2 linked regions of the Canis lupus familiaris genome follow. The protein of the gene in region 1 interacts with the protein of each later gene in a pairwise test. Links are inferred from orthologs where the notes say so. Each region holds a gene or a part of one and is shown on either strand. Other genes may lie near its edges. The genes, in order: ZMYND19 and KCTD13.

What was found.
Region 2: the proteins of ZMYND19 (region 1) and KCTD13 interact in binary tests that used the Homo sapiens proteins (3 or more experiments, as listed by UniProt). The two-hybrid records come from large-scale screens. The link is inferred for Canis lupus familiaris from reciprocal best matches to the Homo sapiens genes ZMYND19 and KCTD13.

Annotation. Positions count from the first base shown.
Region 1 is NC_049230.1:48,177,196-48,181,781, forward strand, and holds the start of ZMYND19 (zinc finger MYND domain-containing protein 19), read left to right. Parts: upstream 1-1,621; 5' UTR 1,622-1,669; coding exon 1,670-1,720; intron 1,721-2,799; coding exon 2,800-2,859; intron 2,860-3,833; coding exon 3,834-3,940; intron 3,941-4,552; coding exon 4,553-4,586. UniProt on the Homo sapiens protein: May be involved as a regulatory molecule in GPR24/MCH-R1 signaling.
Region 2 is NC_049227.1:18,120,507-18,124,841, reverse strand, and holds the start of KCTD13 (BTB/POZ domain-containing adapter for CUL3-mediated RhoA degradation protein 1), read left to right. Parts: upstream 1-1,267; 5' UTR 1,268-1,453; coding exon 1,454-1,697; intron 1,698-3,009; coding exon 3,010-3,179; intron 3,180-4,335. UniProt on the Homo sapiens protein: Substrate-specific adapter of a BCR (BTB-CUL3-RBX1) E3 ubiquitin-protein ligase complex required for synaptic transmission.

The sequences.
Region 1 (4,586 bases):
CAAATTTATACCCCAGGCTGGACTGCTCCCTTGAACTCTATCCTCATACAGTCAACTGCTTGGCAGCCTGAATGCGTAGCATGAACAAGAAATTCATGTTTATTTTGCTAAGCTGCTGAGAACATAGGATTGTTACTGAAGCATAAACAGGTTTAAGCGGACTGTTACAGAAGACTGGCCCCGCACGTCCAAACACCACCATCACCCCCTGACTAGCTGCTGTATTCACTGGCTCCACAGCCTTCCTGCTTCCAGTCTTCCCCCTAAACTACTGTACCCCTCAGCCAGCCTGGCTCATGGAAAAGCTGCTCTATTCAAATTCTCCAACCGCCTCCCTTTGCTAAGTATAGAAATCAACGTTCTTCTAAGAGCCTACTAACCACCACCCTTGGCTCCCACATCTCTAATCTTCAGCCCTGTTCCTGTCCTGAACTCCTGTCTGGTCACAGCGGACAATCCCACTTTTCCCAACATCCCAGCCCAGGGCCCTGTGGCCAGCTCTTCCCCCAGATGCCCACATGGTGCTCTCTCCACTCCTTACACTGTTCAAGTCCATGAGTCAATGGGGCAGAGCCTGCCCACCACCTTCCTTAGGCCCCTAGCCTCCTAATGCTGCTCTCCTGGTTTCCCCCACTGCCTTTATCACTCATCACGGGCCGTTCTGATTTGCACTCCCGGGTACTTTCAGTGGGAGTGCGGGCGGCGGGGTGGTTGCTAGGTAACAAGGGCGGCGGCCCCCGAGTGTCCTCCCGCCCCGAGCGCCCTCCAGCCTTCAGGTCCTCCCGCCCTAAGCGCCCAGCAGGAGCGAGCGGAGGGCAGAGCGGCCGCGGGCCCATCACCGCAGCCCGGTTCACGGCCCGACCCGCGGGGAAGGCGGCGGCGGCCCGAGCGCAGGCAGTGCGGGGGAGACGGGCCCCGTTGGCACAGGGGCGGTGTCCAGGGAGGGAGTAGGGCGGCCCGCGCCCCTCGCCCCTCGCCCCTCGCCCGCCGTCCCGCGGGTGCGGAGCCGTTTACCGGGAGCCGCAGCGAGTTCCGCAGGACCCTTCGGGCCGCCCCTCCGCGAGGGGGCGGCGCGTGGGTTCGGGGGCCAGGGGCAGGGCCGCGGCCGGGCGTTGGGGCCGGCGCCCGGCCTGAGCCGAGGGCGGCCAGCGGGGAGCAAGACGCCGCAGCGCGGCCGCCAGCACAAAGCTTCCCGCGAAACTGACGTAGCGCGGGGCGGCCGCGCAAGCGCCGCCCTCGGCCGCGCCCCTCCCCCGCGCTCCCACTGCTCCTCAGTGCGCCGGCGTACTTCCCCTCCTCCCATTGGCCACGGCGCGGCGGCGCGCGCAGGCCGGCGCGGGGCGCACCCCGCGATTGGCGGGTCGGCGGCGGGCGGGGGTGTGTCCGCGTCGCACCCCGCCTCCGGCTCCGCTCGCGGTGGTGCGCGCGGCGGCGGCGGCGGCGGCGGTGGCGGCGTCGGCGGCGGTGGCGCGTGGCAGGTCCGGCGGGCCCGAGGCGGCGGCGGCCCGAGCCCGGCCCAGCCTCGTCCCGCCTGGCCCCGACCCCGGCCCGCCGGCCCGGCCCACCCGGCGCGCCGCGGCGCCGCCCCGGCCCGGCCCCGGCCCCGGTCCCGGTCCCGGCCCGGCGCCTCCCGAGGGAGCGGCGCCGCCGGCCGAGCGCAGGCCTGGCCATGACCGACTTCAAATTGGGTATCGTGCGGCTCGGCCGGGTGGCCGGGAAGGTGAGCGGCGCGGGGGCCGCGGGGCCGCGGGGCCGCGGGGCCGGGACGCTGGGCTGGGGCCGTGGGGTCGGGGGCTGCGGAGCCGGGCGGGCGGGCGGGCGGGCGAAGGGTCCCCGCGGGCAGCACAGCGCCCTTCCGAGGCGGCAGGACGGTGTGCGTGCGTGTCGGCGCCCGCCAGCCCGTCGTGGAGCCTCGCGCGGGGTTCACGCTGCCGGCGCTGGCCGAGTGCGGACGGGCCTCGATGGGCCTCCCGGAGCAGGGCCTCCCTCTGCTTCTCTCCCTTACCTGGCCCCGCCCTCCGCGGGTTCGAGGCCGGGGCTTCCTGGCACCTGTGGGCATTGAGGCTTGGCTGTTTCCAGGAGCCGGCCGGCCGTGCAGCTGCTCCAGCCACGGACCTTACCCTGGATGGGAACCCTGTTCCCATCCCCAGCGGCGGCAGCTCCTGGTGGGAGACAGGAGCAGAGGCAGTCAGATGAAGGTAAAACCGACTTAGATCTTAGAAGGAGGCTCCCCGAGCAAGAATGAGACTAGTCCGTTTGGGGGGCCGTTTCCTGCCTTTCCTGCAAGAGGAATGTGGCTTTTTACCTGGGGAAGGGTGGGCTCCCCATCGGCTCTGAGACCTTTTCTTATTCAGTGACTGGTTGCATTCAGATCATCCTTTAAAACTTATTTGGAACATTTCAGAAGAAAGCTAAACAGTTCAGTGAGCACCTGTGTACTGCCACCCATCCTAATAAATAAATGTTTTCGAGGCCTTCTGTATGCCTTGTCTCACTCCAGGGCCCCTCCTCTGTTCCGAGGAAGCCCCAGTCTCAAATGAGGGTCAGCAGCACCTGAAACACAGCTTAGAGGTTAGCCAGTCCAGGGGCACTTAGGGCTTAGGCGCGTATGGATGGGAAGTGAAGCCTGATTCCTACTCCTCTGGGACAGTCTGGAGTGGGAAATGACCACCTGCCTTGGGGGTAGGGTACTTGGTGCCCCTCACCTGCTAGCCTCATTTAACCTGAAGGGGCGGTTTCTGTTACTAAAACTTTACTGTGACCCTGAATGTAACATTGCGAAACGTGGTTAATTTCCAGACGAAGTACACACTGATAGATGAGCAAGATATCCCGCTGGTGGAGGGCTACTCCTTTGAGGTAAGGATGGCTGTTTCTCTGTGGGCCTGCTTTCAGCCAATGCTTGAGGAGGGTCAGGAGGAATGGGTTTTACCCTGTGTTGTTGGTTCTCTCCCACTTTCACCCTGGTGCAAGTAGATCACATTGTGTCGTGTTTGTGATGATGTTCAGTTGGATAAGCCCTGGCTCCCTAGGGGACTGTCCAAGTGCCACCTCATGTTTCTTCTGGCCTTGGCCCAGCGTTCCTCCATCCCCCATCTTCCTGAGCTCCCTTGCCTTCCACTCTTCTCTGTGGGATGAGCTTCTGTTCACCTGCCCATCCTCACCTACCGGCTCCTCCACTTCAGAAATCCTTGAGGGCTCTGTGGACCCACTATGCTTTATCTCAGCCCTTCGTGTTTTTACAGAAAGGGTGGCCCTTGAACAAGAGTTTGAACTGCACAGGTTAACTTAGATGTGGGGGGGGTTTTGATAAACATAGTCTATTACTGTAAATATATTTCATCATGACTTCTTTGAAAACGTTTTCTTTAAGAATATAGCATACGATATGTCTCACATACAAAGTTTGTGTTAATCACTTGTTTGCCTCAGTAAGGTTTCTGGTCCAGAGCAAGCTATCAGTGAAGTCTCCGGAAGTTAAAAGTCCTATGCGGATTTTCACCTGTGTGGGGGCTCTGTACCTTACCCTACGTGTTCAGGGCTTAGCTATTAGTTACTTGTTCAAGGGTTTGTTTTTCTCACTGAATTGTGGGCATTTTCTAAGAGTAGGAAAACTTGTCTCTTTATGTCTACAGTGTTTTGCAGAGTGGTTTGTGGAGTATGTTGGGATACAGGGCTGGCTTCTCATGTCTGGGAGCCTCTGCAAAGCCCGGGGTCCCAGAAAGAGGCCTCATATATTTGCTCTAACTTGTTTGTTTCACTTCACTTCTTTAATAAAGTTTGAAAATGTAGCTGAGACCTGAAGGCTTTTTAACAGACCATTTCTCTCTCAGGCCCGGATGGAAGTAGATGCAGATGGAAATGGTGCTAAGATATTCGCATATGCCTTTGACAAAAACCGAGGAAGAGGGTCAGGAAGGCTCCTTCACGAGCTGCTGTGGTAGGTGTTTATGAGCTGCTTGTTCCTCATTTGGGTACTGCATGCAGCAACCTGTCCCTGTTGACAGAGGATGTGTTATCGGAGTCATGCTCCCCCCACCACCCCTCTTGTTACCTTTGAATCATTGCCGCTAACCCAGAGGAATGGCTCATTTGTATAGCGTACCACTAATGGAGCAGTCTAAAAGTGCACTTTCTGCTCAGGCACTTGTACCGGGCATGGCTCTCTCTCTGGGGTAGGGAGGACTCTGCTCCGTCCACTGTGTTCTTGCTGAGCCTGTTGGTGGGATGTGAGGAATGGCCTGCCTCCTCGTGGCGTCCACGGTGGAACTGCTGCTTGGAACTGCTCAGATGGGGTGTTCTCTAGGCTGTGTGTTTGATGGTTGGGGGCTCCATCCTTGGCTTTTTGCAGCCCAGCTCTCAAATCAAGGGGCTGAACTGTTAGCATGGTCCATCTTGTTTGACCACAGACTGACTGACATACTTGGATTCCTCTCAGCAGCCTTGTTCCTGACGCTCTCTGTCAGTGTGGCGAAGGGCCAGTTCAGATCCCACAGCTGAAGTATTTAGGGAGGCCTGAGGTGGCCGATTGCAAGACTTGTCTGTTTCCTAGGGAGCGGCACAGGGGAGGCATTGCTCCCGGCTTT
Region 2 (4,335 bases), on another chromosome or scaffold:
AGCAGTCACTCAAACTGTAGGAGAAGGGGTTATGTTTGGTCATTTTTGTGTTTGGGCAATGTTGGTTTTGTGTTCAGAAATAATTATGAAATGGTCTTTCTCTCAATCTGTCAGAGTGCCATGGCCTAGCTGATAGTGCCAGGCCTGCTCCTAGCATTACCAAGGTTTCCACAGGGAGAGTGTAAACTAGCTCCCAGCTGTCCTGGGCTGCCTTTTTTTTTTTTTTTTTTTTTTAAATCAGTTGCACTTGAAAAATCAGAATTGGCAACCTCTTTTGGTAAAACATGAGCTCTCTGGGTCACCACAGGCTCCATTACTCCCCAATACCTTGTAATGCCCCACCCCACTCATGTACACTCCTAACTGTTCCCTGGCATTGAAATCTGCACCCCACACTAAGCAAAATAGGAACCAAGCCCAGAGAAAAGTGACTTGGCTAGGATCACCCAATGAACTTGTGGGAGAGTGGAAATTGTTTACATTTTCCCTCCAGCAAACCCCCATGCTAGACATTAAGATCCTTTGTTAAATCTCTGAAGTATCAGCCTCTCAACGGAACGTAGATCCAGTCAGATAAACACTTCTCAGTACATTTTCCTGTCAATAACATGTCCCTGACTTATTCTTTCTTTTTTTCGGGATTGGGCGTCTCGAGACCTTAGCTGGGATTCTAAAACCTTTGCTTGGCCGCTGCAGCCATCCCTGACATTCATTCTGCTCAATACCACAGGCGTGTTTCTGCCTGGAGTCTGTGTGTGTGCACTTCCCTCTGCCTGGAGTTCTCCCTCACACCTTAGTGTGGCCTCGTCTTCTCAGCTTCGGCTCTGCATCACTTCCTCAGGCACGCACTTCCTGACGACCTTACCTACTACACACACCCTGCATGTCCTAGCACTACTGTCACCTCTCTAAGGAGGCCACCTCACTTTGGCCTCTTGTACAAGTCTCCCTTGGTGCTTTGTTCGAAGCTCTCCGCAGTCTGTCAAAAGCGCGGGGATGGGAGGCGGAAACCTTGCCTTTCACGCCCGCGAAGCGCTCTGAGGGCAGAGACTCAACCACCGCGAGGCGACCTCGCTTTCCACAGCAGGCATGTGGCGGAGCCCGTCCTCCAACCACTGTCCAAGACCCGCGCGAGTACCTCACGTCGCGCGGGATCCCACCCCGCCGGAGGCTGCGCGCTACCTCTCCACGGGGGCCCTAGGTCACCACGCATGCTCCGCACCGCCGGCGCGCGAGGTCAGGGGCGGGACCTTGGCGCGCCTGCGCACCTGCTCAGCCTCGGCTTCCGGGCGGCGTCGGCGTGATGGGGCTGAGGGCTGCGGCGGAGTAGCCGCGGCGTGTGGTCGTGTGGACCTCGCTGTCTGTTCCGACGGCTCGGGTCTCGGGGTCTTTGGGAGCCGCCGGAGGGTGCGGAGAGAGCCTAGGATCGCGCCGTCCGCCGCCAGTCCCCGGCATGTCGGCCGAGGCTTCGGGCCCGGCGGCGGCCGAGGCCCCGTCCCTGGAAGCCCCCAAGCCCTCGGGTCTCGAGCCTGGCTCCGCCGCCTACGGTCTCAAGCCGCTGACCCCGAACAGCAAGTACGTGAAGCTGAATGTGGGCGGCTCGCTGCACTACACCACGCTGCGCACCCTCACGGGACAGGACACCATGCTCAAAGCCATGTTCAGCGGCCGCGCGGAGGTGCTCACTGACGCGGGAGGTACGCCGCGCCGCACTTACCTGTGTGGTCCTCCATCCTCCAGATCCCCGTCTGCCTTCCCTCGCCCAGTCTCCTCATATCCCCTCTCTCGCGTCTCTACCGTGCAGTCAACTCATTTCACCTCCCTCCAGCCCCCCCATCCAGTCTCATCGCCCCTTCCTCATTCATAATTCCCCTCCTATCTCAGTCCTTTATCCCTAGCAATAACCAACATTTAAGGGAACATCACATGCCCGCTTCCAACACGCGCTGTGGTAAGTAATTCAACACGTCACTTCCGAATTTTTATTACCAGTCCCCTCCAATTCTCCCACCCTTTACTCCTCAGCTCAGACGACTTGGGAACCAGTCCTGCTACCAGCAGCACCCTTCCAGGCAACCTTCATGTTCCTTCCAACTGCCCAGCCTTATGTTTGCCTCTCTACCTCAGCACTGCTAACAACCGGCCTGGAGGAGTTGTCTGTCTCTGTATTCCTCCAACACAGGTCCCCGTACGCTCTAGGGATCCATTTGTAAATGCAGACTGTAGAAAAAGGCTGTTTTGGGGGTTTGCCATGGACACCAGAGAGAAGGGTGGACAGTTCTCTTTGGCAGGTGAACCTTACCTTCTTGGAGTGTTGCCTTCAGGGTTGGAACCCACATGCCCAGGTGGAACTGTAGTTTTTGTGAGGGTGGGGGAAGGTATTGAGAGGGGTATAACAATGATAGTAAAGAGCAGGAAAATTAAAATTTGGGCGATGGAGTTCAATCTTAAAATATCTGAGGTTGAAGGATTTGATTATTCAACAAGTATTTGTAAAGTGCCAGTTAGTGCCAGAGATACTTTGGTAAATGAATCAGACAAGATTAGTCTTATAGACTTCACTTTTTTGTGGGGGCAGGAGGAAAATAATAAGCAAATACACATATGAAAAATACGTGTGAAGTTCTATGAATAATATAAAGGTTGAAATGGTAGTGAACTGGGGGGTGGGGTAGATATTTTAATTAAGGCAGTCAGAACTAATGCCAAAGGTTAGAGTTTGTTGGTAAGGTAATCATTTTCATTGCAATCATTTTCTCATGGTGAGAACTTTTTCAATTCAGAACAGACCTGGAAAGGAATTCATTCTCTGTGTCTACGAATGTTAAAAAGGGGTCTATGGGAAAACTCACTGGAGATGTTTTAAAGGGATTTTCTTGGATGTGGCAAAGGTTTGAGACAGATCAGTATTCAGACCTGTAGCTTTGGAATCTGTTTTTCATAAAAATTTAGTAGCTCCAGAGCCCCCTGCAAAGCCATCCTTCCTCTTGCCTGTCTCCACTCCACCAGGTTGGGTGCTGATTGACCGGAGCGGCCGCCACTTTGGTACAATCCTCAACTACCTGCGGGATGGGTCCGTGCCACTGCCTGATAATACCAGAGAACTGGGGGAGCTACTAGGCGAAGCACGCTACTACCTGGTACAGGGTCTGATTGAGGACTGCCAGCTAGCATTGCAGGTGAGGGGCCCTGGGTCCCACCTTATACCCATGTCTCTGGGAGAGCTGTCTAAGCACTTAGATACTAGCACATTAAAAAATAGAGGGGAGGTATCTGGGGTATTGTTTGGAGAGGCTCCCTATGGCCTGGCTGTGACTAGCCATAACTACAGAAAATTTGGTTGGAGGTGCTTTCCTGTGTATTCCTGCTACCTCAGGAAGGACCTCCCTCACCACCTCGTGCCAGGACTATTACAGTAGTTTTTTTGTTTAAGATTTTATTTATTTTTTCATGAGAGACACAAAGAGAGGCAGAGACATAGGCAGAGAGAGAAGCAGGCCCCATGCAGGGAGCCTGATGTGGGACTCGATCCTCTGATTTCCAGGATCATGCCCTGGGCCAAAGGCAGACGCTCAACCGCTGAGCTACCCAGGGGTCCCTGTTACAGTAGTTAAATGACTGTTCTCTCCTTGCTGTTCCTACCTGGCTAATCCGGCAATCACACTACCACCTGAGTGATGATCCTTAAACAGTCTAGTCTCCCCTTTGCTCCTAAATCTTAAATAACTCCCTGTGCCACTAGGAAAAAAAAATCCAATTTTAAATTAGAATATAATGATCTCTGTGATTTGGTCCTGTCCTGGGAGGCAGTATTCCACCCCCAGCCAGGTTTTTGTTGTTGTTGTTTTTAACTTCTTTTTTAGCAATGAAATCCTAGAATCAGAGCTGCTCCCCAAAAGACAGATTGGGGGTTCCACGCCCCAACTTCTGGGCTTCTCTTCTATGGATCTCAGGGTTCTGAAGAGAGCTTAGAAAGCACAGCCAGGACCTGTGGGTTAAGTGTCACCTCTACCACAGCTGACTGAGTGACCTTGATTAAGTCAGTTCCTACCTCTGGCATTCTGTTCTCATGTTCCAAAAGATAGGAAAACAAGAAAAATATGTACACTGTAGTGAGTTTTACATAAAGCCTTTTATTTTGTTCTATTTTTACATTGTTAAAAATGTACCTTCTTTTATGATACAATATTACTAGGAGATTATAAGAGTTTCTTTTTTAGTGCCCTTTATATATTAAAAAGTGGCGACTATAAACAGTTTTCTGTTATCTTGGTGAATACATATCGGTTCTTGAAATTCAAAAGTATAGGGCAGCCTGGGTGGCTCAGCGGTTTA